Oryctolagus cuniculus: one gene and its partners. The protein of the gene in region 5 purifies or fractionates together with the protein of the main gene of each other region. This does not show direct contact. Links are inferred from orthologs where the notes say so. Each region holds a gene or a part of one and is shown on either strand. Other genes may lie near its edges.

Region 1 (4,208 bases), on a different chromosome or scaffold from region 5:
TTTCTTTTTTTTTTTTTTTTTTTTTTAAGATTTTATTTATTTATTTGAAAGAGTAACGCAGAGAGAGGAGAGGCAGAGAGAGAGAGAGAGAGAGAGAGAGAGAGGTCTTCCATCCAATGGTACACTCCCCAATTGACTGCAACAGCCAGAGCTGCGCAGATCCGAAGCCAGGAGCCAGGAGCCAGGAGCTTCCTCCAGGTCTCCCACTCGGGTGCAGGGGCCCAAGGACTTGGGCCATCTTCTACTGCTTTCCCAGGCCATAGCAGAGAGCTGGATTAGAAGTGGAGCAGCTGGGTCTCGAACTGTCGCCTACAGGGGATGCTGCTGCTTCAGGCCAGGGCGTTAACCCTCTGTGCCACAGTGCCAGCCCCTCCCAGTCCACTTTCAAGTCCTTTTACTTAATTTCAGTGTCACTGCTAACTGCAGATGTTACTTCTGGGTTTCTGGTGGCTCTCTGCTGACCTCTCCTTTACCACCTGTTTACATGAAGACTTAGAAGTCAGAAGGAACTTCCCACTTTTCTTGCACCCTAAGTTTCTCCTAATTCCACATCTCTCTCCCCTTGAACCCCAGGGGTGCTTGATGGAGTTGAGGTGATCAATAGATCAAGTTGGTTCTGGTTTGGGCTCTGTTACTTGTATCTCTGTTACTTTGAGATATGCTATGGGCCCTGGTTTCTTTGTCACTAACAAACGAGGCTGGGATTGGGTAAACTCAAAGGTTCCTTTCAGCTCGAAGGTTCTACAATTTTATCTCTACCCTATAGTGACCTCCTATTGAACTTATGGCCAAGATGGTTATGGAGTCTCTCCTTTGTCCAAAACCTGGGTTCCCCAGAGTCCTCTGCTCAACCAGGACCAACCCTGGGCTCTAAGCCTTTGTGGAATACAGTTGGGGCAAAATCCTGCTAAATGAGTTTAGTGAAAATCCCCTCTCTTGGTGTCTAACCACCATCAGTATTTTTTCACCCTGGCTTGCATTGAGTGAGAATTCTGTTAAACCAGTCTAGCAAGAATCCCCCTTGCTCCTGTTCTTTCCTCTTAGCAATTTTCCATTCACTAACCTCCACCCTGCTCCTTGGTTATAAATCCCAACTTGTCCTTACGCTCTCGTTAGAGTCAGAACTGAGTCCAATCTCTCGCCTGCCGCATCACAGTCCATTTAAATAAAGCCTGCCTTACCATCTTTAATAAGTGTCATAAATGGTTCTTTAACATTAGCAAGTTTGGGCAACGAGTCGTTCGGTTTGGGGTGGGGTAAAGCCAGCGTAGAGAAAGTCTGTGCACCAGGCAGGGTTGTTGTGGCCGCAGGGAACAAGGACATCTGGGCCAGGGCTCAGAGGGATTGGAGACTTGGGCCGAGTGCGGGTCCTCCGCGGCGCCAGGTGGCGCTCCAGGCCCCGGAAGCCGGCGCCGTGCGCGGCTGGACAGCGCCTGACGCCGGACTCCGGCTTCCGGAAGCGGAGCGCCGAACCCGCAACGGCAGGTTGAACAGCAGCGGCCGTGGCGGGCGCGGCAGCAGCAGAGACTACTGAGGGGGACCCCGGCCTGGCTCCCGCGCCAGGGGGGAGCACGATGGACGAAGCCGGCAGCTCCGCGAGCGGCGGAGGCTTCCGCCCGGGCGTGGACAGCCTGGACGAGCCGCCCAACAGCCGCATCTTCTTGGTGATCAGCAAGTACACTCCCGAGTCGGTGCTGAGGGAGCGCTTCTCGCCTTTTGGCGAGATACAGGACATCTGGGTGGTGCGGGACAAGCACACCAAGGAGTCCAAGGGCATTGCCTTCGTCAAGTTCGCCCGCAGCTCGCAGGCCTGCAGGGCCATGGAGGAGATGCACGGCCAGTGCCTGGGCCCCAACGACAGCAAGCCCATCAAGGTGCGGGCGCTCGGGTCTGGGTGGCCGCGGGGGCACAGTCGGGGAGGATGGCGCCGTCGGGCCTCCCTTCGCCTGGTGCTGTGCCAGGGCGGGAGAGGGCAGGGCGCCCGCTCCCGGAGCCCGTCAGGCAGCACTCGACACCGACTGGGAAGCGGGCTTCTAGAAAGAGGATCCCGTCCCCAGAGCCTGCGCCGGGGGCCGGGCGGGCGGCCGTGACGGCTCGGGAGGGGCAGTGGCCTGGCCTCCCCACTCCCAGCGGTCACTGGTTCCCCTGGACCGCTCTGGGAACCTGGCCGAGGCCCTCGGGGGTACGGCGTCTGAAGTCACTCTGTGGGGCTTAAACGCTTGGCAAAAGTGCGGATGTTTAAACCGTGGCCGTCTGTGTTGGGCGTTTTCCCAGGACAGACAGAAGTGTGCATGTGTGCGATATTAAATGCAGATGGTTAAAATGCTACGATCCGGCTTTCATCACACTTTAGTGATTTTAACAATTGTTCCAAATAAGCCCTGTTTGTGAGGATGTGAACACGGTGCATTCGATTCTTGACTGTTATTCCCACTTTGCTTCTAAAGCGGATTGAAGTCAACTGCCTTGAGCAGAGCCAGATCGCTGTGGTGGTCTCTTGGGCTTTGCATTATTATGCTGATTGTGTTAGTATATGGTGGCATTTATATGAAGTGTCTACACGTAGTACTGTGTAAAACTAAGGTAATAGCGCATGGCAGGAATGGTAATTTCAAGAAGTATTTGACTTAATTCAACCTTTTAGTACAGTGCTGCGAACAAGGTAACCCTCAATTGTATTTTTACAACTATTCTGTAGTAGTCAGGATGTCCCCACACTGAAACTTTCTTCTTTAGCCACCAAAACCTAAAATGCTCATTCTCAAAGAGAATTAAGGCTTCAAATCTGTTTTCCACATTTTTGCCCACTGAGTTTCAGCCAGGATGTTATTCTGTGCTACCGACTCAGACCATCCGGCTTGGGCAGGCTGTCTTCCTTCTCCTTTCCTTCCTTCCATTTGGCTTCAATTTTTCTCAAGTTAACGTTGCTTTTGCAAAGTTCCAGAGAATCTGCAAGTCAAGAATATTGCAGCACCAGGCATACGACCAGAAAACATTTTACAGTTAAGGCATATTCTATGTCAGGCTCTGTTGTCCTGAAGGTATAGGTCAACTTGGAAAACAGAAAAGAAAAATCTTTGTTTTGGCTTTGAACGAATGTCTCTTATCTAGAACCAAAGAGTGTGTATCATCCACGAAGGTAAAAATCTGTTAGGAGAAATCTTCCTTTAGGAGCTTGATTATTCTGCATGTGTTTTACATCGGTACTGTCTCATCAAAGATCAGAAACACTGAGCTCATGGCTCCTCCAGCCTCATCTTACCTGGGGCTCTTTTTTCCTTCTGTGTCTCTGCATGTGCTTGAAGCTGCCCTTTTTGTGTTTCCCCGTTGACCATTCATTACTGAAACATCACTACATTCAGTCTCTAAGGGCGCTTCTGGGTTCTCAATAAAACTTCCTTCAAAGCTTGGCATATAAGCATGTGGTGTGGCTTTACTGAAGGAGTGACTGGAAGTAGGTTATAGGTAGAGCTGTATCTCCAACTTCATCTTCTACAAAAGAATTTACATCTCTGTGACAGGCTGTTTTCCAAACAAACAACTGTTTTGTTTTTTTTTTTCCCACATGGCTCCAGTGTTCTTGTTTCAACATTTATAAAATCCCATGGCTTTAAAATTTTATGTCCTTTTGATTGCTATGTCCTACTCCAGAATTTCTTAAGTCCAAGTTAACTCATACTTGAATGACATATAGCCCCTCCTTCTTAAATTTTAAAGAAAAATTTTAAAAAAGCTTCAAGTTGGCCGATGCCACGGCTCACTAGGCTAATCCTCCGCCTTGCGGTGCTGGCACACCGGGTTCTAGTCCCAGTCGGGGCGCCAGATTCTGTCCCGGTTGCCCCTCTTCCAGGCCAGCTCTCTGCTGTGGCCAGGGATGTGGGCAGTGGAGGATGGCCCAAGTGCTTGGGCCCTGCACCCCATGGGAGACCAGGAGAAGCACCTGGCTCCTGCCATCGTATCAGCACGGTGCGCCGGTTGCAGCGCGCCGGCCGTGGCGGCCATTGGAGGGTGAACCAACGACAAAGGAAGACCTTTCTCTCTGTCTCTCTCTCTCACTGTCCACTCTGTCAAAAAAATAAATTAAAAAAAAAGGCTTCAAGATCCTGTGGGTGTACAATGGTTTAATTTTATTACACTATTTATATTATAAAAAAGTGAAGTTATCCATTAAACTTCTCATGTTTATAGCTGTGTAATAAATGCACAGT
Region 2 (4,245 bases), on a different chromosome or scaffold from region 5:
AGTTCTTTAAGCAAAATAACCAAGTAATTAAAATTCAAGGCAACATTGCTAATGCGTTTGCCATCATGAATGCACACTGAGTTTCCAACAACAGAACAGAGCTGGGTCGAGCGTGCATTGGTAGGCCCGAGTTAGCTGCTCACCTGTAAGCGATTTCATCGGCCACCTTCTCCTGAGAATCCTCCTCCGTGATCTCGTACCGGCCTTTGTAGTTCATCTCCAGCCTGGCTCCCACTCTGTCTCTGACGGGCCGCTTCCGCTTGAGATGCCCTTGCCCGTTTTCCTCGTCCTTCGACCCCCCCTTTGTGCCACCATGCATGTAGTCGTCTAGCTCCTTGTCTACATCTTTTGCGTGCTCCTGAGATTCCCTCCTGAGTTTCTTAGCCAGCAGGTAATTGTAGGTCTCTGACTGCCTGCTTCTGTCAATCGTGCCCTCCATTCCCAAGATGCCCAGTTCAGTGGCCACGGCGTCCTGGTTCTGCTCCTGCAGCACGGCGCCCCAGATGTTGTTAACCTTCTTTCCTCCGGCGGCGGGGGGCTTCTGACTACTCTGGTCAAACTGGAAGGGCTCTGGCTTGGGAGGCAGGCTCAAACACTTCTGTCGCTTGCGCTTCCAAAGAGAGCTCTCATCATCTGAATCAGAAAAGCTCTCTTCACTTGAATCCACACTTTTAACAGTCCGGTAATGTGACGCGGGTGCACCCGCTGCTGTGGGACTCTGCAAGCCCCTCGCGGCACTGCCCCCTACTAGAACTTTCTGCAAGCAAGAGGAGACACGGTCAGTTCCACAAAACACATTCCGCCATGTATTCCACCCGCCATGTGCTGCTTAAAAAAATAAAGAGCGAGGGAGAGAGAGACTCAACTGGACTATTCTAGAACAAAATTGTCTTCAAAAACATCTCTGAAACCAATGCTTATGGAATTTGCCAAATATAAAGCTAAAAAACCTGGCATGGGCGTTGTGAAGTGCAATGATTAAGCTGTTATCTTGGACACCTCACATCCCGTATCTGAGTGCCTACTTTGAGTCTTGGCTGCTCCACTTCTGATCCAGGTCCCCGCTAATATACTGGAAGGACAGCAGAAGATGGCCGAAGTCCTCGGGCCCCTCCTACCCATGTGGGTGACCTGGGTGGGATTCTGGGCTCCTGCCATCAGCCTGGCCCCACCCTGGTTATTGGGGGCATTTGAGGAGTGAACCAGTAGATCAAAGATGTGTCTCTCTGCTTTTTAAATAAATAAATGAATCTTGGAAGAAAAAAGGCTACGCATTCTTATTTCTACAGCTAATGCAGCATTTAATTCTAAGGTCTCTTAAGAAATTAGCAGAGCTCTCAGTTCTCACTTTCAGAAGATTTCGTCTTTTCCATTATTGTCAGAATGCCTGGGAATGTCACACGCAATTTGCTACTGGCAGTTAGAACTGTTTTCTTTCTTTCCACAGATACCCGCCTTGCTGTACACACACCAACTTCCTCCATAAGGTTCAATGATTGTTTCCCTTTGGATTAGAAGGCAAACTCCTACCGGGAGGAACCCGTGATATCACTTTTTTTTTTTTTTTTAAGATTTATTTATTGAAAGCCAGACGTATTGAGAGAGATCTTCCAAGCAGGAGCTTCATCCGGGTCTCCCACATACGTGCAGGGCTCAAGCACCTGGGCCGTCTTCTGCTGTTTTCCCAGGTGCCTTAGCAGGGAGCTGGATCCGAAGTGGAGCAGGCAGGACTCAAACTGACGCCAATACAGGATGCCCGCGTGGCAGGCAGGGAGTTTACCCAGTACCTTGTCCCCCTAACAATCCTAAAACTGCAGAGTTCATGACGCCAGTTTACCAAGTCACGGAGCAATTTAGGTAAAACCACTGAGAACAAATTGTGTCGGAATTAACTCCCAGGGCATTTATATGCAAAAGGAGTCACCTGTGCTTTAAAAAAAAAAAAAATAACTACCGCCACATAACAACTTCACAACCCCCTGGCGTCCAAGGTGGGGTTCTGCAGTGTAGTCTACACCGAGTGAGCTGCGAATCAGAGCTCTGAGCAGATCCAGCACCTCAAACTTCTGTGCGCGGTGAAACACCGCACACCCCGTCTCCAGCTGCTTGGAAGCACACAATGCACGGAGCTCCAGAACTCACGCTCCCTCGGCACCCGGGACTCGACACGAACTCCGCGTGCGCCGGGCTCCCGCGAGCGCCAGCAGCCGGGCCGGCGGCGGCCGAGTCCCGCAGGAGTCCGTCCCCGCGTCTAGGGCGACGTCGGCCGAGTCGCTGCGTGCGGGCCGCGCCCCCGCCCCGCACGACCACCGCGTCCGCGGCGCGACGCCCGGGGGACGCAGGCGGGCCGGACGGCGGGGGACCCCGGCGGCCCCGCAAGACAAAGCCGGGCGGGCGGGCGGGCTCTGCGGGCCACGGTCCCCTCACCCCGCGGGGCCCGGATGAGCAGCGCGGGCTGCTCCAGGCCGACGGCCCCGGGTCTCGGCCCTTCCGGGACAACGGAGCGACGCCAGGCCGGGGACGCCGCTGGGTTTTTACACCACGACCAGCGGCCTGGCAGGCGGAGTCGCCGCCGCTGCACGCCCGCCTCCAGGCTGGCGGCCCGGGCTCCGCGCGCCCCCCGGCCGCCCTCCGCACTCACCGGCACTGGCAGCGGCCTGTCGCTGGGCGCGACCATCATGTCGGAGTCCGAGTCGGAGAGCTGCCCATCTTCCATGTCGCCCGCGTCCAGCGCCATCTTCCCGCGGCGCGCGCTCGGGAGAGCACTTCCGGCGGCGCGGCGGCCGCTCGGGCGCCCCCGCGCGGGAGCCGGCGGCGCGGCAGCTGGCGTGAAGGCCGGGGCGCGGGGCTCCCGCCTGCGAGCCCGTCCTCGCCGTGTGTGCGGGGGCGGCGGCCCGGGGGTCCCGGCGTGGCCTGGCTGCCCCGGGCAGGTGCACCCGGAAGGAGGCGTCGCCCCTCGAGGCCCGGGTGCGGCTGCCCCGGGCAGGTGCACCCGGAAGGAGGCGTCGCCCCTCGAGGCCCGGGTGCCCGCGCACCGCCGCACCTCCCTGGTGAGCGGTGCTGCTGAGTATCTTCTACCCGCTGTTTGGCATGTGCGTGTGTCCTTCGTGTTGAACGTCGGAATTTTTCCCTTTTCACTGAATTATAAGCATGGCATCCCTGCTCTGGAGACCCCTTGTTGAACATCTGATCTGATTGGAGTTGTACCCTGCTCCCTCCGTGTCTGTGGCTCGCTCTCACATCTGATCAGTGTCCTTTGAGGAGCCATGATGCAAAGTCTCCTTTATGGGTGGTTTCCTTGTGTGCGTTTTGTGTCCCAGGGGCACAGAATAGCCCAGTGCTTTTCAACCTGGGGCTGTTTCCTTCTGCAGGGGACGTCTGGCGTCGTCTGGAGATCTTTTCAGTTGCTGTGCGTTGGGGGTGATGCTGACACGGGGGGCCAGGCCAGGGTTGCACCTCAGCATCCTATAATGCACACAACAGCGCCCCGCAACGAAGATGCTCTCCTGTGTTTTCTCTCGAAGTTTTCACGTTTTTGGGTCTGTGGTCTGTTTTGAGTTAATTACTATATACGGCTTGCAATAAGAGTCAAGAATCTGGATTTGTGTGCGTGTGTGTGTATGTGTAACTGTCCAATTAGTAGACCACTGTTTGTTGAAAAGACTACTTTTTCCTCTTTGAATTTCCTGTGCTCTCTATTCTGCTCCGCTGATCTTTATGCCTGTTTTACACCAACCAATGTGATGCTTGATTACTGTAGATTTAAAATAATGTTAAAGTTATACGGGTTTTTTTGGAAAAAATATCTTAGCTATTCCAGATTCTTTGCAATTCCTTTTTAAATTTCTAACCTGGTGCACCACAATGCTGGCCCTTTTTTTTTCTTTTCTTTCTTTCTTCTTTTTTTTAAAAAATATTTATGTGTGTGTTCATTTTACGGAGGCAGAGGGATGGAAGAAGGGAGAGACAAAGAGGTCTTCCATCCACTGGCTCACTCTCCAAATGGCTGCAGTGGCTGGGGCGGGTCCAGGCCAGGAAGCCAGGAGCCAGGAGCTTCTTACGGGTCTACCAGATGAGTGGCAAGAGCCCAAGCACTTGGGCCATCTTCTGCTGCCTTCCCCAGCGGATTAGCAGGGAGCTCGATTGGAAGTGGTGCCCGTGAGGGGTCTGGCATTGGGCAGCGATTTAACCCACTGTGTGACAGTGCCGGCCCCAGGCATCACACATTGTCAAGGAGCAGTTCTC
Region 3 (4,271 bases), on a different chromosome or scaffold from region 5:
TGCACTAACGCCGCAGCAGGACCTGGGGACAGCTCTGCAGGCAGACGAGCAGCTGGAGACCCGCCGGTCCCTGGCTTGCGTGAAGTTCCCTTAGCAGTGAGAGCCGGTCCACAGTCAGACCCCAACCTGCCCTCCTCTGGGACGGTCTGCCCGGGCCGCCTAGACTGCACCGGTCTGAGAAGCTCAGGGGCCCACAGGACAAGGAGGCACGGCAGGTAAGCCCATCAGGGAAGCAGCCTCAGGTGCTCGCCTCCCACCAGATGGAGGACCTGCCCTCATGATGCTAACAGGGCTCCAGGGACCCGCGCTTCGGGGGTTAAGCGGCTCGAGGCCAAACCCCAGCGCGCCTGATCCTCTGTTTACTTGGCCGTGGGCAACCAGGCACTCGCCCCAGCTGCAGTCTGGCTCTACCTGCCTCCTAAGAGGTTCTGCAGATGACGCTGCCTTTCGCGGGGCTCAGGGCTCGGAGGAGACAGCTGCCAATCACCCTTTCACAGTTCATCCACAGCGAAGGGGCTTCCGCAGGCGGTCTACTCTGGGGGCCGTGGCCCCGAGCTAGTCCTCAGCGGGACTGGGACTGCAAACAAGGCCCGGAGCCCGGGCTCGGCTGCCCCGTAACGACCAGACCCAACACGGCCCGGCGGCCAGCTGCCGTTTGTTTTCTTCTGATCCTGCTAACAGGTAGCAGGTTCTCCGCCCCCGGCCCGACCCCTAATCCCTTCAGCTCCAGGGAAGCCGCTCGCCCTCCAGGGAGTGGAGAACAGGTACCAATTAGACACTCAGGAGCCTTTGCCCCTGAGTATTTCCTCTGCTAAGGCATCCACTAACGCTCGCTGTTACGGACACCAGGAGCGGCGGAGCAGGAAAAGACTTTCGGATCCTAAACCCAACTTTTTTTTTTTTCCTTTTTAAAAGCTCAGATTTGGACATGGAAGCCCAGAACAGAAGAAAAGTGACTTGTTTCCGATCACAAAGGGACACGGCCCGCTAACAGCTTTCTAGGAAGACGCCTGAAAAGTCTCAGCCAGGCTGTTCTGGGGACCGATCCACACACGGGCTCCTGACCCTGCTCCTGTGTAAGGCCCCAGCCCCTGCCCCTCCACCCCGGGAGCCACACACACACACAGCTGGACCTGCAAAAGGAGGAAAAAAAAAAAAAAAAGGCAAGCAGGGCTCCTATTGGCCGCCAGCGGGGTCGGTGGCTAAGGCGAGGGGTGCGGGCGGGCCCCCTCCTCCCGGGTTACCTGAGCACAGTCACGCTCCCTCTGCGCACAGGCAGCGAGAGCACGGGTTCCGACACCCGGATGGGCTTGAACTGGAACTTGCAGCCGAAGCAGAGCGCCGAGTCGCTGAAGAAAGACACGGACACGATGGGGCGCTCGAAGATGTGGATGGGGTCCACGTGCGACACGATGCAGCCGCCGGGCTGGTAGTCGTTGATGACGGCGCTGTTGACGAAGCCCTCGGGGATGACGCGGTGCTCCACCAGCTTCTGGATCACCAGCTGGTGCACCCACTCCGGGATCTCGTCCACGTCGCCCGGGGGGTACAGGCGCTCCTGGCCGGGCCCGCGCTTCTGCAGCTGCGCGCCGTACGTGTAGCCCTCGCCGAAGAAGTACTTGTTGCGCAGCGGGGCCCGGTCCACCGTGTGCTCGTTGTACAGGCCCTTCTCGGCGCGGGACACCACCTCGTCGATGCGGGCCTCGATCTTGGCGCACTCGTCCTGGCTGAACAGGCGCATCTGCCGGATGCCGCTCTTGACCTTGCGCGCCTCCTCCTCCCTCTGCAGCTGCTGCTCCTCGTAGTCGCTGCGCTCCGGGTCCGAGTCCTCCGGGTATTTGCGCTTGGCCCCGGGCGCCGGGTACGGCTCGGCGGCGGCGGCCGCGGCGGCGGCGGCGGCCACAGCGGCGGCGGCGGCCGCGGCCGCGGCCTCCCGGCTGCCCGCCTTGTAGTTGTCCCGGGACGTCATGGACTTGAGCTTCTCACGCAGGTCCGTGTAGCCGCTGGCGGCCGCCATGGCCCCCAAGACGCGACTCTAGGGGCCTCCGGGAAGGGCGGGGCGGCCGGGCATGGCTCTCAGGGGTAGGGGTGGGGACGCGGCCCGGGACCCCCGGAGGGAAAGGGGGGTGGGGTCCTCAGCGAGGGGCCTCCATGCGTGACCGGAGGGCGCCGAGAGCGGGGTCGGGCCTCAGGGGCGGCGGGTCATGCAGCGGCTGCGGCGGCCACGGCGCTTCCTCCTCCACCACCTTCTCCGCGTCCCGGGGGGCAGGGGCGCCGGCAGCGCCTCATGCCGCGAACGGCCGCTCGACTCCCCCCCAAGACCCTCAGACGCCCCGCCCGGCCCGCACTTTAAAGCGCTCCTCACGACGTCACGGGCCGCTCGCCCGACGTCCGCCAGCGCCGCTCCTTAGCGGGCTCCTCGGTGCGCAGGCGCAGTGGCGCCGGCCACCGCGGCTCCGCGCGCTATGAGCATGCGCGTGCGTGCGGGCCGGGCCGGCCGATGGGGCCCGCGCAGGCGCAGACGCGGGCCCTCCCCGTTCGTCGTCCGCCGCCCCTCCCCCACGCGCTGAGGGGGGCGCTGAGGGAGCGCTTTCGAATAGCAACCTTGCCTCCACGCCACGCCGCCTCCGAGACGGGGAGAGCTCCCGCTGCAGGGGTTTGCTGATGGTGTCAACACTGTCGCCCTGCCGCGTCACGGCATCGTCCGAATGCCTTGGAGGCGCCTCAGCCCCCGGCGCGCAATCACCGGGGAACCGCCACAACCTAGGCCGTCCTGGGACCGCCCCTTTTGGCCTTTCCGCTTCTTTCATTGGGCCGCCAGCCACGCGCGGGGCGGGCCTGGACTGGAGTTTCCAGAGGCCGGTTGGTAGCCATGCCTGTCAATCAGGCCATCTCCTTGGCTACCGCGCCCATCGCTGAACAAGCGGCGGGGAGGGAAGCGAGGACCCCTGAAGAGCGGATGGGTGGCTACCTAAGTGCCTGAAACGGAAACCACCACCACCCCGCCCCCCCACGCCTGAGGAAAGTCCTCGGGACGCCTCAGAAAACTTCTAAAAGCAACGGAAACTTTGCTCAGAACGTATGGCCGAGAGCGCCAGGCCCTGCTGGCCCCGAGCCTAGATGGCGACTGCCAAAGAAGCTGGGACACGCGTCTTCGTGGGGGGAAAACGCCCAGCGCCGCCTCGGCCGCCGCTGCCCGGGGTGGACGTTCCGCGAGTCACGTCCCGGCGGCGGCGGGCGCGTGCGCGGCGGCGGGGGCGCGCCGGGCCGGGGGTGCGGGGCGGCGTCTCCCGGGTGCAGCCCCCGTGTGCGCGGCTGAGGGCGAGCCGCAGGTGCGCCCCGCGGCTCCAGCCGCAGCCCCTCCCCAGGCCGGGGCTGGGGGGCGAGGGTCGGCCGCTGTGCTTGGCGCTCAGGGGCCTCGTGCAAGCCCTTGCTCCCGCGTGGTAGGCACGGGGCTTGCTGAGTCGGGCCTCAGCCCCCCGCCCCCCGTCTGTACACTGAGAGGCGCCTGAGTCTGTTGTGTTGGAAAAGTGGATTCTTGGCCATGACCAGGCTGAGCAGAAGGCGGCGTGAGGTCGTGAAACCCCAGACACCTGGGACCCTGGCCGCTGCTTCCACGCTGGCCACCTGGCGCAGCAAGCCTGAGCCGGGGAGAACCGAGTCACCTACAGTCCATCGGGCCCCTGCCCTTTCCTGGTGTAGCCCAGTGGGGTGCAGGTGTGGGGAGGCGGCCGCGGGCAGTGAGGACGAGGCCAGTGGGCGGGGCCATGTGGCCTGCCTCTGGCCCTGCAGGATTCCAGTACCTTCTAACCGCTATGCTGCCCCGTCTTCTATGAAGAGCAGGCCTTCTCGGAGCCACCTGTGGACACAGCTCAGCTCATCCAGGCCGAGATGAGAATCACTTGTTTCCTCCTCGTCTTTTTTGGGGGACAGCGCGAGTTCCCGAGCCAAGCTGCCTGGGGTTGAATCGTCATTGGACCCCTGTGCTGGCTGTGTGGCCTTGGGCAAGTTGTTCTACCTCTCTGGGCCCTATGTACAGTGGTGGTAATAGCACTCACCTCACTGGGCGTGTTTTGAGTATGCAATTGATTTTTTTTTTTTTTTATGTACAGAGCCGGGCACACTGTAAGAAGTTGAATAAAATGAGCTTTTACACAAATGTACGTCTAGAGGCAAGCGTTGTGGTCCAGTGGGTTAAGCCACTGCTTGGGACGCCTGTATCCTACATCGAATGCTTGGGATCAAGTCCCACCTCCGCTTCCAAGCCAGCT
Region 4 (3,965 bases), on a different chromosome or scaffold from region 5:
GGACTGCGTTGTTATTGTCTATCTTAGCGGCTCTCTCTTCTGCAAAGTGGCCTCATTTAGCCAAGCCATTCCCACCACCATCCATCAGGAGCTCGGCTAACGAGCAGAGAAGAGCTCGTCTCACACACAAACACGCCACTTATCTGAATTATTATTTTACCAGGAAAGAGGGAGGAGGGCGTCGTGAGTAGGGAGAAAGTTTGTTTGACCTTATTTCTCTCTTCCGCAGAAGGCTGGGAAGGAGGCAGACAGGAGAGCAAACGTCCGGGCAGAGCTCAACTCCCCACCTCTGGCTGCGGTTCCTGGCCCCTGCTAGACCCCAATCTTGGGGGGCCGGACAAGAAACGCAAGGGGAGGCTTTGAAGGCGAGGTGCAGGAACCGGCCCCGCCAACAGGCCTGTCCAGCGGGGACCCTGGCTGGGCCCCCTCGCCCCCACCCCCACCCCACTCTCCGACTGAAGGGCAGGGGAAGGAGAGGAGGAGGAAGATGTCCCCCCATCCTCCCCGGCCCCCAATACCCAGAAGCCACGCGAGGAAAAGGCCACCCAGTCAGGGGGCTCGACGGGCCCTGCCCCCATGTGGGTTCCATGGAGGGGGGCGCCTGGTAATTCATGCCCCCAGTAGAGGCCTGTTCCTAAAAACCTGGACAGGGTATGGGGGTGCTGCTGGTCCCCGGCCCCTTGCGGGCCACCGTGGGGGGAGGAGGAGGGGTGGGGGTGGGGAGCCCGGCCCCTCTGAGGGCCCCGGTGCCCCCCTCCCTGCGCCCTCAGCCCGGGCGCCCAGGACTCTCGGCGGTTAGCTTGCGCTCGCCGCGACCCCCCAACTCCCGCAGCCCGCCCCCAAGACGGGCCGGGTCGGGCCGAGCCTTCCTACCTCCGACCCGGTACATGTTGGCCGCCATGTCCGCCCGCCCGCCCGCGGAGCCCAAGCCGAGCCCCGCCCGCCGCCGCCGCCGCCGCCTCAGCCTCGACCGCCGCCGCCGCCGCCGCCTCCTCGCCGCCTCGCCACGGGGGGGAGGGGAAGGGAGAGGACGGGGGAGGGGGAAGTGAAGGGGAGGGGACGCCGAGGGCTGGGGGCTGGCGTCCGCCCCCAGCGCAGGGCGAGCGAAACCGAGTGGGCCGCGCTGGGGGAGGCCCCGGGAGGCCCCAGCGCTGCGGGTTGCGGGCACCGGGGGACAGGGAGGGAGGCTGAGGGGCCTTGCGAGTGGAGGACCCCAGGGCCCCAGTCCTGGCCGACGCAGAAGCCTGCACTGGCAACTGCGGGCTGGGGGCCCTTGGAGATTGGGGTGGGAACAGAGGCTGAGCCTCCCTGGAGCGCTTCCTGCCCCACCCTGAGTAACCCGTCACCTGCCCACCGCTAGACAGGTTCTCCTTCCCTGCTCTGTCCCCGGGGAGCCCCAGCATGTGCGACCCTAAGCAAGGCAGCACCAGTGCAAGCTTCGCTGCAAAGTCTTGGATACAAATAAGTGCAGGCAGCAGGGCACCTTCCTCTGGGAAGGTTGTTACAGACCCCAGGCGTTCCCAGTCAGAGACCCAGCTGGGCCAGGACTGGAAAAACTGGCTGCCGTCCAAGTGCGCCCTAACTGCGATGGCGGGGACGTCATCATTCACCCCAGAACTAGGCTGAACAGAACCCACTCCCGGACACCCTGAGACCCTGTCTGTAACTAGGCCCCATTGCAAAAAAAAAAAAAAAGACTTAGCGGCGCCCTTCGTCCAAGGGCCCTACAGTTCCCCACACCACCTCCCAGGAGGAGAGACTGTCAGACTGTCAGGTTGTTGATGATGGACAGTTAACTAGTTCTGTGCCTGAACCTTTTAAATGGTCATTTTCTCATGCTAATTCTCTGGACAACTTGTTTTCAAATCCTTGGCACCCTCGGAACAAAAAGATAAAGTTGAGTCTTAGCTGGCCATCCCCCAAGTGAACACAAATACTTTTTTTTAGGCAAGCCAATCTACTACTCCCAGACTTTGTTGCAGAATAAACACAACAATGATCCCTGATGGTTGCGGGTTGTTGGGAGTGTCTGGTGATGTACAGCTGTGTGGCTGTTGACTGTGACTTTGAGGCCTATGCTGGAAGAGGAGGTGTTCCCAGAAAAGTCTGTGTTTGCCTTATCTTGTGCCGTGGCCCCTAATCAAAAGATGTTGAAGTGAAAAAATAATTATCTGGACAGCTGAAGCAAAGTGAGAATAATACAACAATGAACAACTTTGCCTGCCTTACATTGGTTGACTCCGTGACCTGTTTCCTCTTTTATGAAATGGGGACACTAACTCCACCTCACAGGTGGTAAGGATCCGTTGTGATGCTATCTGAAAATGCTTTGTAAACCGGAGCAGAAAGCACCAAGCAAATAGCAGGTGTCTTCCGCTTTCTTTTTAACCCCAGAAAGCCTCAGATTCCCAGGGGTTTTATGCCATGTGTCAACTGTGAGCCCTGTCAGCTCTTGTGACCCAGCAAAGAAAGCAAAAGTATTCTGCTATGCACATGGCGTGGCTGTTGTTTATCATAATCCTTTTACTGGAGATACCACCAAAAATATATTGTGACATATCCGACATCACTCTCTCCGTTTCTGAGCTGACACAAATAAGTGGAATAATTCACCTGGAGTCATACAGTGAACTGGCAGCGTGATCGAGATTGTAATTCAGCCGCTTCTGCCGACCTAGGAAGCTCTGGACCATAAAGCCTTTCTCCCAGGGAAAAAGTCACCTGGAAACCATAAATTGCAAAGACACAGACCACAAGCTTTAGGGTGTCTTCACGTTATGTTTTTAATAAATGAGTGATTTTTCCGCCTTCATGCCCATGTCTGTGTTTTTGCTGGTTCCTTGTCTGCCAGTCTCACTTCCCTAGCTCGGTGCTCCTTGCCAGGTGTTTGTGATGACTGTAACAACAACAACAAACCGGTGAAAGGTGCCAAGAAAACTCCCTACATCCACACCCACCTCCTCCCCTTAGGAACAATTTATCCAGAAGCCCCCCATGAAAGGCCTCAGAGATCTGTGGGGTGAGGTTGGGGGGCAGGGGGACTGGGGAAATGGCGGCTGGACCTGGAACTCTTTCCTTCCTCCAGATTCTGTTGTTCTTAGTGTCTCCCACTCCTCCAGCTCCTACACAGTGTCCTCTACATTCTAGGTTCTCAATATCTGAAAGAAAAAATGCCAGGGGGCCGGCGCTGGGGCGCAGCGGGTTAACGCCCTAGCCTGAAGTGCCAGCATCCCATATGGGCGCCAGTTCAAAACCCAGCTGCTCTACTTCCAATCCAGCTCTCTGCTATGGTCTGGGAAAGCAGTAGAATTTTGGCCCCTGCACCAGTGTGGGAGACCCAGAAGAAGCTCCGGGTCTTTAAAAAGAAGGAAGGGGAGGAGGAGAAGAGGGGAAGAAGAGGGAGAGGGGAAAGGGGAGGGGGGAGGTAGGGAGGGGAAGGAGAGGGGGGAGGGGGGAGGGGGAGGGGGGGAGGGGAGGGGGAGGGGAGGGGGACTAGTGCTGTGGTATAGCAGGTAAAGCGGCCAACTTCAGTGCCAACATCCCATAGGGGTGCGAGTTCAAGTCCTGGCTGCTCCACTTCCGATCCAGCTCTCTGCTATGGCCTGCTAAGTCCTTGGGTCCCTGTACCCACATGGGAGATGGGGAAGAAGTCCCTGGCTCAGCTCCGGCCATTGCAGCCATCTGGGGAGTGAAAGTGAACCAGCAGATGGAAGACCTCTCTCCCTCTGCCTCTGCCTCTCAAGTAAATAAATAAATCTTAAAAAAAGAAGAAGAGGAGGAGGAGGAAGAGGAAGTGGAAGAGGAGGAGGAAGAGGAAGAAGAAGTTGTTTATAGAAGGGATTATCTGAAACCCCAGGACATTCCCTGTGTTGGACTCCAGAATCTCACCAGTTAGCTGAAAAGAAATGGATGCTGTGTAAAAGCTATAGATAAGGGCCTGGCATTGTGGCACAGCGGGTTAAGCT
Region 5 (4,110 bases):
AACCTGGGTGCAAAATCAAACATGCTAATGCGCTGAAGAGCTGCTAAAGCAGTGAGGATTTCTGGATGCAAGATGTGGAACGAGAGGAGAGCTAGGAGAGGCGAGTCTGACATTTGCCCTCACTTTTCCAAACCTGAGGTGATTGCTGATTCTAAAAACAGTGGCTGAAAAAGTGAGCAGAGCTTTCGGCTGTCTCATGGAGCTGAGAAGGCTCTGTCAAAGAGGAGGAGCCCTGATAAACACTCAAGACTTTCGGTCGGGGTGCTCTAGGACTATGTATGTCTTGGCTATGAGTAAGGGTGAACAGTCACAAAGACGGAGGTTCTGCTTTCAACAACCACCCTCAGCTCCTGATTGGGATAAGGTGAGCTGTCCTCAGCCCGGCTGCCGTCATGCATACTTGTCTCTAGCTCTGTCCCATAGACCACCCCCTCCCCAGCCACCTGGCTCAAACTCAGCCCTGGTCCTAGTAAACACACCATTGCTGGGGGAATGCTGAGGCAGCAGAGACAGATCCAGGACAACTGAGCATTGCATAACTGAGCTTCCAATTAGTGCAGTCCCCTCTCTCCCCACCCTACACCGGGAAATGTATTAATCCACCCCAGCTCTTCCACCTGGCTCCTCAGTGTGTGTTTGAAACTGGTTTGGCAAACTAGGACCTCAGTGAGACTTTTCTGTTCTGTGACCTCTGCTTGACTGGCTGCAGTCTTACTCTTCCACACACACACTCCACCCCCCGCCACAAGCCACTAATCCATTTGCTTCCTCCAAAGAAGAATTTCATCAAATTTAACAGTGAGAGTCATTTGCCCCACAATTTCCGTTTGACAGCGCTTATTGAGAATAAAGCAAGTCATTTCTTCATGATTTTTGACGTCATGCATATATTTTCAGGCAAACAGGATGGGAGAGAACTGAAGAAGGAATACCTAGAAGTTTCCTGCAAACACGCCACAAGGTAACTCTTTAAGCCCTGAGGCGCTGACAACACTTCATTCATTCCATCAGTCATTCAAGAAACACGGACTGAAATTGATACCTGCCTAGTTAGAGGGTAGACGGAGATGAGTGAGGATCGATCCGTCCTAGAAGAGATCAGTAAAGACAGGTTTGCGGACATCACTTTCTCCAACCTTTCCCAGGCTGCAAGCCTGCTCCTAGAAGCCCTCTCCTCTACCGGGAATTCCTCACCCGTTGGGCGCCAACCACTGGGGACTGCCGGTGGGCGACCGTTTGGAGACTACAACTCCCGGCAGCCACTGCAGCGGGTGGTGGAGGAGCTTGCGCAGGCGCGCGGGCCGGCCCCCGCACGCAGGCGCACTGCGAACGCCGGCTGAGCTGGGTCTCGCTGCTCGGTGCGCGGCGGCGGAGAGCGAGGCCTGGTGGGCACCGCCGAAGCGCGGACCGGCTGCTCGAGGTTGTGCGCGTGAGAGAGGCACGGCGCGCGGGCGAGCGAGTGAGCGCTTCAGCTTAGTGGCACCGGGACCGGTTGCCTAGAGCCTGGTGAGTTGGGGGCCCTGCGGCTGCGGCCCCTCCCCCTCCCGCCGGCGGATCCGGGCTGTCCTCGGCTGGACGCGGGAGAGGCCCCGGGGGCGAGGTTAGGCGCCGGCCGTGGGCTCCAGCCCGGGTGCCTGCGCCCAAACCCTTGCGGCGCGTCCGTGCGTCACGGGCCCGGCTTTCTAACGGCCGCGCGGCCGGCGGAGGGCCGAGTGGGGGTGGGGAGCGCTGGTGCGATCGCCATCGGGAACGCCGGTCGAGGCGGGGCAGCGCGGCGGTAGCGGCGGCGGCGGCGGCGGGGCTGGAAGCGGCGCCGGGGACTGCGGGACGCCGAGGCGGCGGGGCGGCGTGAGGCGAGTGCGCAGCCTGCGCCGCCGCCTGGCGCGGACGGGCGGGCGGGCCGCGGGTGGGCGCGAGCGCGGAGCGCGATGACAGGCAGGACGGGGCAGAGATGCGTGTGAAAGCCTTCCGCGGGGCCGGGCGGGCTCCGTGTGCGGAGTTCCCAAGTTGGAGCCCGGACCCGGGCCGGGGCGGGGCCGGGGCCGGCGACTGCAGTTTCCCGGTGTCACCGCGGCAGGGCCGGGCCGGCTCGGCGGCCGGGGGTGTGGTAATTATAGGAATGACAGAACTCGGGCTGCGCGGCGCGTGCGAGCGGGGAGCCCGGCACTGGCGGCGGGGTCGGGCGGAGAGTGCTTCAAGTTACTTGAAAGTTTCAAAATAGTCGTCTCTGATTTTTAAGGTCTAAATTCAACAGTCGCGAAATGTTTTCGTTCCAGAGCCTGCTAGTTATTAGGTAGCTTTTCCGTTCGTGTTTCGTAAACGGCCCCTTCAAAATCTTGACTATGTAAGGGAGGCAGATAACGCGATTTTTCCATCCCTGTTGCTGCTTCAAGCCTCATTCTTGACATTATTTTCTTAACTTTTTTTTTTGCATTTCTAATATTTTGGAAGTACTCCACAAGTTATTGTCCCACCCCCCTTATAGATTTTGAAGAGATGAAAATTTGATTTTTCAAAGGAAAGTGAGGATGAGCGCTATTGGACTTTTACTGAAATAATTTATTCTTGACACTGTTTTGTGTATGATTTTAGGATGGAGGGCGTGAGAAAGTAAAGGAGTTGATATTTATTGAACTCCTTTCTGTGTAATGTACACAATTCTTAACATTTTTATAAAGATTTTTGTGTATGGATTTGAAAGAGCTGCGGGAGGGTGCGGGGGCGAGAGAGATCTTCCATCCACACACACTGCAATGGCCAGGGCTGGGCCAGGCTGAAGCTTGGAGCCAGGATCTTCCTGGCCTCCCACGTGGGTGCTGGAGCCCAAGCACTTGGGCCATCCTACACTGCTTTTCTAGGCCATTGGCAGAGAACTGGATGGGAGGTGGAGCAGCCGGGTCCCCAAGGCAGCCAAGGCAGTGACTTTACCAGCACCACAAGGCCCACCCCATAGTAAATTTTGAGTAGCTGTTAAATTTTTTTGCTTTACAGATGAAAAGGCATTGAAGGTCAGAGAAGTTAAGTAACTTGTTTAAGAGGCAGCACTCATTGGGACTAACCTTAGAACCCAAAGTCACTGCCATTTTAAGAATTGGTTCTCTCCTTTCATAACTTCTGAGTTGTGTTTTTCGATTTAATCCATTCATTCTGTGGAGCGATTTATGTGACTGACACTAAAGATGTAGTAATGATCATGACACACTTATCTCTGACTTCATGAAATTGATAGAGTAGCAGAGAAGGCTAACAAGTAACTAATGCAGGTATTGACTACATGGCATTTTATCAGTCATTAAAATTGAGCAGATTTGTAAACCACTAAATAGCAAAGGAAGTTCAAATGGAAGCAGACAAAATAAGCCTTGAGGAAAATTAGCCTGTAGGAAAACAAAGCATACATTTAGAGAAACTTAGAGTAAACTAAATGACAGAAATAAACACATCGCCTGAAGTCAGTACGACATTGTGTTATTTTCTAAAGTGGTCCTCATAGCGTTTTTTCACAGAAGCATGATTTAATATTCCGTTCTTTGACTTTATCTAGAGTTAATATGTGAATGCTTCCAAAGATTTCATGAAAAGATGGAATTAAAAGATTGATTTTACAAAAAGAGTTTGAGGGGTGAGCATTGTGGCACATCAGGTTAAGCTGCTCCTTGGAACACCTGCATCTCATGTTGGAGTGCTGGTTTGAGTATCCGCTGCCATGTTTCCTGATAGTGCATCTTGGGAAGCGGTGGATGGTAGCTGAAGTGTTGAGATCTTTCACCATTGTAGGAGACCAGGATGGAGTTCCTGGTTCTTGGCTTCAGCCTGGCCTAGCCCTGGCAGTTGGCGGAGTGAACCAGTGTGTGGAAGATCTCTCTGTTTCTTCCTCTCTCTGTCACTCTGCCTTTCAAGTAGATGAAGGTGAATAACTAAACATTAAATTTCTTTGAAATACATTCATAGTTTTTTCTTTGATAAGCACTTTCCATGGGCATTTTGAAGATCCCTCCCAAAAGGGACCATGAAAAAAAATACCACCATCCAAGACACTTTCTTATTTATTGTTCTCTATAAAATACAAACCTTAGAGACATTCTTCTTAAGACCCCGGTACTCGCTAGA
Region 6 (4,127 bases), on a different chromosome or scaffold from region 5:
ATAGCACAGAAAAACAATTTGCTTAAGACAGTTGGTCAATAGTTAACAGCAGGGTATTCTTACTCTCATTTCTACAGGCAAGAAAATCTAGACTGCAAGTACTTCACGTCCTAAGTATTAATAGGAAAACACATACCCTAAGGATCCATGTAAATATGACTCTACTGGGTGGGCCTCTGCTGGACCAATGAAGCTGGCAGCTGGAACATCGCATTCCAAATCCGAGTGCCTGGGTCCAGGTTCAGTTCCAGGTTCTGCTCCCCATTCCAGCTTCCTATTAGTGTACACCTTGGGAGGCAGTGATAATGGCTCAAGTAGTGGAGACATGAATCAAGTTGTGAACCACTGGATGGGAACTTGTATGTGTTAGATAAACATGACTTTGAAAGTTACTTTAATGGCCCTCAACCATAAAGGGACAGATGGCATTTGGATCTCTGAATTTCCATCTATTGTACTTCCTGCTGCTTTAAAACCTTTTTGGGAAGCAAAAGACTATCTATGAGACTAGAAACAAACAAACAAAAATTCACAAGAACACCATGGAAATACAAACATTTTTCTAGGAGTGCTCTATATAGATAGGCAATCTCAATGGTGAAAACTAGACTGCAAACACTTTAACTGGAGGGGCAAGATGTACATGGGAGGCAAATTACAATAATTGAGTAAGGAGACCTAAGTTTCAGTCTAAACCCTGGCCACTACCCATCGACTTTGGATAAGTCATTTCAAACTTGCACATTGGGTTTTTCATTTCATGTGGTTGGTTTAGTTCAGAATCTGGATCAGTCTCAATTAGAATGGAAACAAAGGGGAGAGCAAAGGCCTCTCATGATTTGGTTCAGGATCTACTGCCAGCATCCAGGTCTGTAACTGCCTCATGAACACAGGCCAGCAAGGGTACCACCTCTAAGTCTCCTGTCTTCATTTATTTATCTATAGATTATTCTGTCTGCCACTGTGATAGACACAGCCACGAAATACATCCAGGATAGATTTTTATAAAGACTGAGTCCAAACTTCTGCCAGCACAGAACACATGAACAGCTAATTTCTCATAAATCATGATAAATGCTAAAACAAAGGTCTATCCACACGCTCTGCAACTTCCAACCCAAGAGGCTAAACTACCTGCAACAGCACACCTAATCTAATGCCCTACCTAAATCAGTTTTGCAATATCTAGTTTACAAATAGTCTAAAAGGCTATGACTGTACAGCTGAAAACACTCCATGAAACATAAAACAATGTTACCTAATCAATCCATCTGAGACTAGCCAAGCAGTAATCTTCTGAGATCAGCATCAAGAACAAGCTCCACCATTAACACTGGAAGATACCCACTACCCACTTTGTTCACTCATTAACCACTGTGCATATGGGGCTGATGGGCTTAAGAACTACCTCTGAAATAAGTACTGCCAAAGTAGAAATTTCTGTGCCTAACATTGCAGAATCTGAAAGACATTATCTTCTCCTAAAACTCTAACAATAAGCTCTGGACAGTATTAGACTCGTCATCATCTCCACTGCGTTTTTCAATTTTAAACGCTGACAACGGCACAATTCAGAATGTCAGCTGAACATCTGAAATGACATTTCTCCCATCGGGGCGGGGGTGGGGGGGTGGGGAGAAAGTACACTAGATATACATCAAGCACAGGACCTCTTTCCCATCCCCTCAAAAACCGGCTTGTTGCTTGTTTTTTATCCTGGTCACATTTTTCTTATCAAACTCTAACGACAAACTCCGCAGGCACTGAATTCCCGAGGAAGGAAGGTCACTGCGCTCCTTTTTTAGAGCACGGGTGGGGGGGGGGGGGGGTGGAGGAGAAGAACAGAATTACCCGAAATTGCACGTCCATAGCCTGCCTGCCGCGGCTTAACCTGCTCCACCCAAGCGGTCTTAACCCCGCACTCAAACCCCTACGAGGCTCGGTTTCCTCATCCGTAAGCCGCGCGAGCAACTTGGCCGAAGGGCCCTCGGCGCTGGGGCCTACAGAGCCGGAGCACCAATTCCTGCAGCGGGTGGGCTCGGGCAGGAGAGGAGAGACAGCCCCAAGTAAGCGCCTCACCCCCCGCTGCCGCTTTTGTTATTCACAGCTCCGGGATACGGAGGGATAGAGAGAGACCGAGGGAGACAAGCCACAGGAAGTTAAGAAAGGCAAGTGGGTGGGGGTGGGGGACGAGATCAAACAGCAAACGTGGACGGCCCGGAGGGCGTGGAGAAGGCTGAGCCAGAGACGGGAGAGGCCCCTGGGAGTTAACCGCACCGCCTAGGGACGTCGATGGGGAGAAGCGGGCCGCGGCCGAGCCGAGCCGGGAAGGCAGGCGGAGGGCGGCAGAGGCCCAGGCGGCACGCGGCTGAGGTGGGGCTCCAAGCCGGGAGCGCCCGGCCCGGCCTGCAGGCCGCGACGGACAACTGGGCCCCGCGGAAGCCGCAGGGAGCACCCCGAGACCGCGCAGAAGGCCGCGCGGCACGGCCCCGGCCCGGCTCTCATTCAAGCCACCTTCCCTTCCCCCTTCTCTAACCCCATGCGGTTCTGGCCCCAACCCGCCCCGTCCTTGCTGCCCACCGTCCGCTCCGGATCTCCACGAGCAGGCCTAGCCACTGGGAGTCCAGCGCGCCGAGATGTGCGAGAGGGCAGCGCCCCTTACCTCAGCTCCCCCGGGTTGAATCGCTCACCGTCCCCCCCGTCCCCGCCACGCTCCGCCATTACAGAGGGCCGCGTTCATCCACCCGCCGACCCGACGCCACCTATTGGCCGGAAGGATCGTCAATCCCGTGCGAGAGAGGCGGAGATAGCGGAAGTCTATGAGATGATTGGTGAAGCTTTCTATCCATCCTCCAGGTGGAGGCGGTATCTGCTTTACTATTGGACAAAGGACCCGCCGACTTTGAAAGCGGTATGGAGACAGCCAGAGGATTGGTCGCTCGGAGGCTTTATGGGAAATGAGACTTTAGCAAAGAGGAACCACCGGCGCCCTCTCGCGGTAAGCGAAACTAGGTCCTCCCACGTTTCGCCCAGCGTGAAGTAGCCACGTGTCTGCCGGCTTCCAGGAGACCCAATTGTGGAGCCATATTGGCCACTAGTAGCTCAGGCCGAAAGCATTTCCACGGGGTGAGCCAATCAAAAAAGACCTGGATCGCGCCTAAACCAATCATAGAGTTGAGGCGGAAGGAGTTTTCGCTATTTGACTTATTGGAGTCTTAAGTCAGCACTCGGCTGTGTATCCAGTTTATGAAATAATATCTGGTGATTACAAGAAGACCTCCTAAAATTGTACTAATTAGTTGCATCTGATGGGTGTTCTGAGTTGCTTTATTGAAAAAGTAAATTGGAGAAGCCAGCCTCTTAGCAGTACACAGCCTTAGCGTCCTCCTTCAATCTCAAAATGCAGTTATCTGAAATTGGCACACCCTGCTACCCAAAAAGAACTCTAAATATTTCTTTTATTCTTCGATTAAAGGGGAAAAGACGGCTGAGGCTCTGGAGTTGCAAAGACAAGATGAAAGCAAACCTATTAATAAAGAGCTCAAAGCATTAATAAATTTTACTCAGACTTAACAGTGTATACCAGTACTTTCCATACAATTAAAAAAATAAAACCACCACCACCATGGGACCAGCGTTGTGACACAGCAGGTTAAGCTGCCACCTGCAGCGCCAGCATCCCATGTTAGAGTGCCTGTTGAAGTCCAGGCTGTTCTATTTCCCATCCAGTTTTCTGGAAAGCAGAGGATGATGGTCCAATGCCCTCCCCCCACCACGTGGGAGACCCAGATGGATTTCTGAGTGCCTGGCTTTGACCTGTGGCCATTTTGGGAGTGAACCAGAGAATGGAAGATGTCTCTGTCTGTCTCTCCCTCTTTCCCCTTCAAATAAAAAAAATTTTTAATGAATTTTTAATTTTTTTAGTTACATTTCCTTTTTATTTTTCAGTTTTTAACAGATTAAATGTAGCTTCAAGATACAGTTCTAAGAATGTTTAAAAAAAACACACAACAAAACAAGAAGTGAGTCATATGCATAGCCAGTTAATATATAAGAATGAGGCAGAAAAGTAACTTGCCCCAAATCCCACAGCTAGTAAGTAGCAAGCGTGGCCTTAACCAGAAGGC
Region 7 (4,040 bases), on a different chromosome or scaffold from region 5:
CCACCCAAAGGCATCTAGATAGTCCAGGTTCCTTCCTAAGTGGTTTCCCAGCGGTGCGAGAGCGTCCCTGCTGGCACGCACTCCGCACTCGCACGCCCACAGAGTCTGTGACGAGGGCAGTCGCTCGTCTAGGGAGGCGGGAGAGCGCCCCGAGGGTCTCGGGGTTATCTCATTTCTGCTCCATATACTGGACACTAAACACTTAACTTTGGGTTTAGGGTAAAGAAAATATATCCCAGACACTTGAGGATATCACACTTCTATTATTACAACTCAAAACCACGTTTACAAGCACTAATTAATTTTCCAGTTGCTACTGATGAGGAAAAGTCACTACCCCAGGCTCCCTGGTGGGCCAGCTGAACAGCTCTGGGCAAAAGGGAATACAACAGTGGTGGCTCTTACTGGAATGTGTATTACAGGTTCAACGATGAAGACGAAGAGGATTTATGTTCAAAATGGTGCCAAAGCATTTGTAAGTCTAGTATTCGTTTCTGGTAGGGTCAGAGAGAAACACAAATGAAAACGGAAGGCCTTCAGGAAAATGTAGTTATTAGGATCCCTGTTCACTAAATATGACAAATAGCTGAGACATTTATTTACAAAGAAAAGTCCACTTGACCTCAAGCATACTGTCATTACTCATTTCATAGACACTACAGGAGCCAAAAGCTATGCTACGATTTCTGTGGTTCAATACCTGCTTTAGAGAAGCTTGGTAAGTGGGATTTTCGCCCTGGCCTTACTGAGCAACTTACCCAGCAGTTTAACTGACAGGAGATATGAGCTACTGGGAAGATTCTGTCATATTAGTAAGGATACAGGAGCTCGGTGGAGGGTCTTGAAATAGCATGAAAACAAATGTTTTCAGTAAAATGTGTAAAAATCGCTGTAACTGCTACGTTTATGCCTGTTACCAGTACTTCCTTATTGATAGAGGTTATGCTCAACAGAGAAGACAGACACTGTGCAGTTAACTGCTGCCCCGCTTCCTTCCAACTCCCAGTCCACACGCTGCACACTTCACTGGCAGACGGCTCCCCATTCAGCAGCTAGAAAGAACCCAACTCAACAGTGTGCTCCAAGTGTCCTCTTTAATCTGCTGTGAGAAGCTGGAGACATTATTTTAAGGAAAGGCTAGATGTCTGTATTTTTTAATTCATACAGAAATCATGAATGTTCTTAACCTATATCTTCTGGTACAATCTAGGTATAAAGAACTACGACTCCAGGTTATATAGGGAATATTTCACTTTCTCATGTAAGAAATTCTGGATTCATATGCTCTAATGAAGTCAATATTTTATGCAAAAAAAATCCATATACATTTATTCATAGGTCTTAATACAGCAAAACATAAATCAAAGTGGAGAACATTGCCCATTCAACCAGTAAATTTGAAATTGTTTAATTTTTAGTATAAAATGGAGCTTTTCCACAAAATGTATCTGCATGGGATTCACCTTCCCTTCTGCTTCATGCTCTAAGAGTACATTTACAGACAGCAGTAATCAGGCTGCTCTCTTGCTTACATTCACATGAACATGGTAAGCACAAAGGAGCAACCGTCTTTTATGTAGTAGCGAAAAGAGTCAATAATCCTTTCAAGAATGAGACTATTTCATTTCCTCCCAACTTGGATTCACCATAAACACGATCCACAAATGATATTGGAACCTAGTTGAGAAAACAGTACAGTCAGTCTTCAAGACACCAGACAGGACGTCCAGAGCTGCAGGCCGCCGTGACTCACACAACAGACCAAGGCTGAGTCCTGCAGTCCTGGGTTCTCAGGTAAGGTCAGGAGTGGAGACCTGGGAGCTCTGCAGCTCCGGTCTTTACACAGGGCCAGCTGTGAGGCAGCAGGTTTCAGGGAACTATCCTATTGCCAAGTAAAGCCACGTGCATGGAGTCTGGTGCAGCCGTCAAGGCCCTGCTCGGGACACCCCGGCCAGGGCCAGTCCCAGCAACGCTTGGGATTGCAGCTTCCTGCTAATGTGCATCCTGGGCAGGAGCAGGAAACGGCTCAGGCGCTCAGGTCTCTGCCACCCCCTGGGAAACCCAGGCTTCGGCTTGGCCAGCCCTCGCTGTTTTGGGCATTTTGGGAAGTGAACCAGAGGATAGGAGATCTTCTGTCTCCATTTCCCTGCCTTTCAAATTAAGTACAAATTTAAAACTGTAAAATGACCCTCCTCTTTTAGCCATTGCTGTGACTTAGCAGTAAGTTAAAAAATCCTGTAACTTCTACAAGAGAACTAGCATTTTAGGGACGCTGTTTTCTTGTTTTAAGTTTTCGTCTTAAATGAAGTCTTTGCAGAAAGCTCACTAGCCAGTCCTGACTACTGTGAATGTCCCAGCACCTCGCGCCAGGCTTCTGGCCACTTTGGTCTATTCACAGGGAACGGCCGCAGTGGCCTCAGTGTGCAGTTCAGGGCCTCAGGCTGATGAGGGAGGGCGGCAGATTCAGCCCGTGACGCTGACCACAAGGTAGCACCGGGGCGCAGGAGGTGCCAGCTACTTTCCATCATTTGAAAGGAAAGTTCCTTCTACTTAAATCTTGGTAGGCTCTATTAACTTCATAGCTATGGAGGTTACTTTTTTTTTAAATAAGAAATCTAAACCTTACTGTTGCTTTCTCTTATTCAGAATGTGGCATGTTACTTGGTGCCAGCTGCGTACCTCAGCAATGGTGTAATTCAGCTGCCGGGCCCGAACAATCATCTCCATCTGGAAGACGTAGCCTTTAGAAACGCACTTTTCTATCAACTTTTGTAGAACTTCTTTTCGATATAATCTGTAAGAAACCAGAAAATAGTAAACACCTATATAAACACACTCATTTGTGTACACGGGTCCTGCACTTTCAAACAAAGGTTCACTGGTATGTATAAAGCCTCAAACTTTCACTAGCCATTGGAATGCAGAAATGTTCAGACAGTTGACGACTGTGATACATTTGTCTTGAACAAGGCCATGAAATATTTCCTAAATATTTTGGAGTAATTTTGAAAATGAACTCTCAGTATCTTTTAGAGAATCATATTCCTGTTACACAATCATAAATTGTGATAAAATGAATCTGATAAAGGACCTCCCATTAATTTTTTTTATTGCCTTAAACTATGTTTCAAGTTGAAAGAGGAGACACTGTTCTAACTATTGAACAGCCAAGCTGACAGATGACGGTGGAGCAGCAGTGCGCCACAGACAGGCCGGAGCTCAGGAGCAGGCATTCCCCAATCAACATGTGCGCCCGAGTTCTATTTCCCAACACTTCCTCAGGAAACTCCCTGGAGTAGACGAAGTCTCTCTAGGATGAATCTGTTTAGAGCCTCAGTGGGTAGGAAGGCAGTAATTTATACTATTTTTTATTTAATTTTTAACTAAAACCAGGAGGAGCGGTTTAGTATAACTTTGTTCTGTTCGAGGGTAAGGCCACTCAGAGCTACAAAGCCCAAGGGTCGTCTCTGAACTCATAGTTTCCCCTAAGCTTCCTCCAAGGCTCCTCTACCTTTTCAAGAGGCTTTTGAGTGGGCATCAGACAACAGCACAGCCCTTAGAAGAACCTGAGCGAGCTTAATGTACACACTCCTTTATCTATACAGATTCTGCAAGGATTCTTTTAAGAAATTTGGAAAAACTATTGAAAGTTGAGAACATAACATTAGCAATATTTACTCAAACAACAAGTATTCAGCCAGCAGTATATTGGAGTAAACTAAAAACCGAGTAAAGACGTAACACACCAAATGATGTTAAGTGCAGAGGGAGGATTGGGATTTGGGTGGGAAAGACAGTAACGGTACAGTATCTTGGTACTGCCTTCAAAATTGGGATTAGGCTATGAATTCTTTGAAGAGTCATCTTATACCAAGACATTAATTTCTCCTCACTGCCAACTCTCTCTCTTCTGCTCTCCCACAGTATCTTTAAAAGTAAGTAAAATCGTAAGTGTGAAGCAAATGATTCCTTAAATAGAATTAGGACCCAGGTATTCTTTGCTGTTAAATGGCTGTTATGCCAGACTGCATCTCCTCAGT

The links.
Region 1: the proteins of KPNA1 (region 5) and RBM45 purify together in Homo sapiens (co-immunoprecipitation; 3 studies listed by BioGRID and IntAct, with this or other methods). This does not show direct contact. The link is inferred for Oryctolagus cuniculus from reciprocal best matches to the Homo sapiens genes KPNA1 and RBM45.
Region 2: the proteins of KPNA1 (region 5) and PHAX purify together in Homo sapiens (co-immunoprecipitation; 4 studies listed by BioGRID and IntAct, with this or other methods). This does not show direct contact. The link is inferred for Oryctolagus cuniculus from reciprocal best matches to the Homo sapiens genes KPNA1 and PHAX.
Region 3: the proteins of KPNA1 (region 5) and ALKBH5 purify together in Homo sapiens (co-immunoprecipitation; 3 studies listed by BioGRID and IntAct, with this or other methods). This does not show direct contact. The link is inferred for Oryctolagus cuniculus from reciprocal best matches to the Homo sapiens genes KPNA1 and ALKBH5.
Region 4: the proteins of KPNA1 (region 5) and MTA3 purify together in Homo sapiens (affinity purification with mass spectrometry; 3 studies listed by BioGRID and IntAct, with this or other methods). This does not show direct contact. The link is inferred for Oryctolagus cuniculus from reciprocal best matches to the Homo sapiens genes KPNA1 and MTA3.
Region 6: the proteins of KPNA1 (region 5) and TCERG1 purify together in Homo sapiens (co-immunoprecipitation; 3 studies listed by BioGRID and IntAct, with this or other methods). This does not show direct contact. The link is inferred for Oryctolagus cuniculus from reciprocal best matches to the Homo sapiens genes KPNA1 and TCERG1.
Region 7: the proteins of KPNA1 (region 5) and ADNP purify together in Homo sapiens (co-immunoprecipitation; 3 studies listed by BioGRID and IntAct, with this or other methods). This does not show direct contact. The link is inferred for Oryctolagus cuniculus from reciprocal best matches to the Homo sapiens genes KPNA1 and ADNP.

Annotation. Positions count from the first base shown.
Region 1 is NC_091434.1:63,008,724-63,012,931, reverse strand, and holds the start of RBM45 (RNA-binding protein 45), read left to right. Parts: upstream 1-1,408; 5' UTR 1,409-1,574; coding exon 1,575-1,874; intron 1,875-4,208. UniProt on the Homo sapiens protein: RNA-binding protein with binding specificity for poly(C). May play an important role in neural development.
Region 2 is NC_091437.1:15,871,549-15,875,793, reverse strand, and holds the start of PHAX (phosphorylated adapter RNA export protein), read right to left. Parts: upstream 2,801-4,245; 5' UTR 2,738-2,800; coding exon 2,642-2,737; intron 758-2,641; coding exon 144-757; intron 1-143. UniProt on the Homo sapiens protein: A phosphoprotein adapter involved in the XPO1-mediated U snRNA export from the nucleus.
Region 3 is NC_091448.1:62,322,479-62,326,749, forward strand, and holds the start of ALKBH5 (RNA demethylase ALKBH5), read right to left. Parts: upstream 2,801-4,271; 5' UTR 2,018-2,800; coding exon 1,245-2,017; intron 1-1,244.
Region 4 is NC_091433.1:160,050,243-160,054,207, forward strand, and holds the start of MTA3 (metastasis-associated protein MTA3), read right to left. Parts: upstream 2,801-3,965; 5' UTR 902-2,800; coding exon 874-901; intron 371-873; exon of another isoform or gene 210-370; intron 180-209; exon of another isoform or gene 161-179; intron 1-160. UniProt on the Homo sapiens protein: Acts as a component of the histone deacetylase NuRD complex which participates in the remodeling of chromatin.
Region 5 is NC_091435.1:78,713,303-78,717,412, reverse strand, and holds the start of KPNA1 (importin subunit alpha-5), read left to right. Parts: upstream 1-1,310; 5' UTR 1,311-1,506; intron 1,507-4,110. UniProt on the Homo sapiens protein: Functions in nuclear protein import as an adapter protein for nuclear receptor KPNB1. Binds specifically and directly to substrates containing either a simple or bipartite NLS motif.
Region 6 is NC_091437.1:33,946,969-33,951,095, reverse strand, and holds the start of TCERG1 (transcription elongation regulator 1), read right to left. Parts: upstream 2,801-4,127; 5' UTR 2,722-2,800; coding exon 2,663-2,721; intron 2,067-2,662; exon of another isoform or gene 1,934-2,066; intron 289-1,933; exon of another isoform or gene 137-288; intron 1-136. UniProt on the Homo sapiens protein: Transcription factor that binds RNA polymerase II and inhibits the elongation of transcripts from target promoters. Regulates transcription elongation in a TATA box-dependent manner.
Region 7 is NC_091442.1:10,026,920-10,030,959, reverse strand, and holds the start of ADNP (activity-dependent neuroprotector homeobox protein), read right to left. Parts: upstream 2,801-4,040; 5' UTR 2,795-2,800; coding exon of another isoform or gene 2,680-2,794; exon of another isoform or gene 2,647-2,679; intron 1,795-2,646; exon of another isoform or gene 1,678-1,794; coding exon of another isoform or gene 1,573-1,677; exon of another isoform or gene 495-1,572; coding exon of another isoform or gene 417-494; exon of another isoform or gene 244-416; intron 1-243. Other genes in the region: DPM1 (dolichol-phosphate mannosyltransferase subunit 1), read right to left, coding at 1,573-1,677, 2,680-2,794.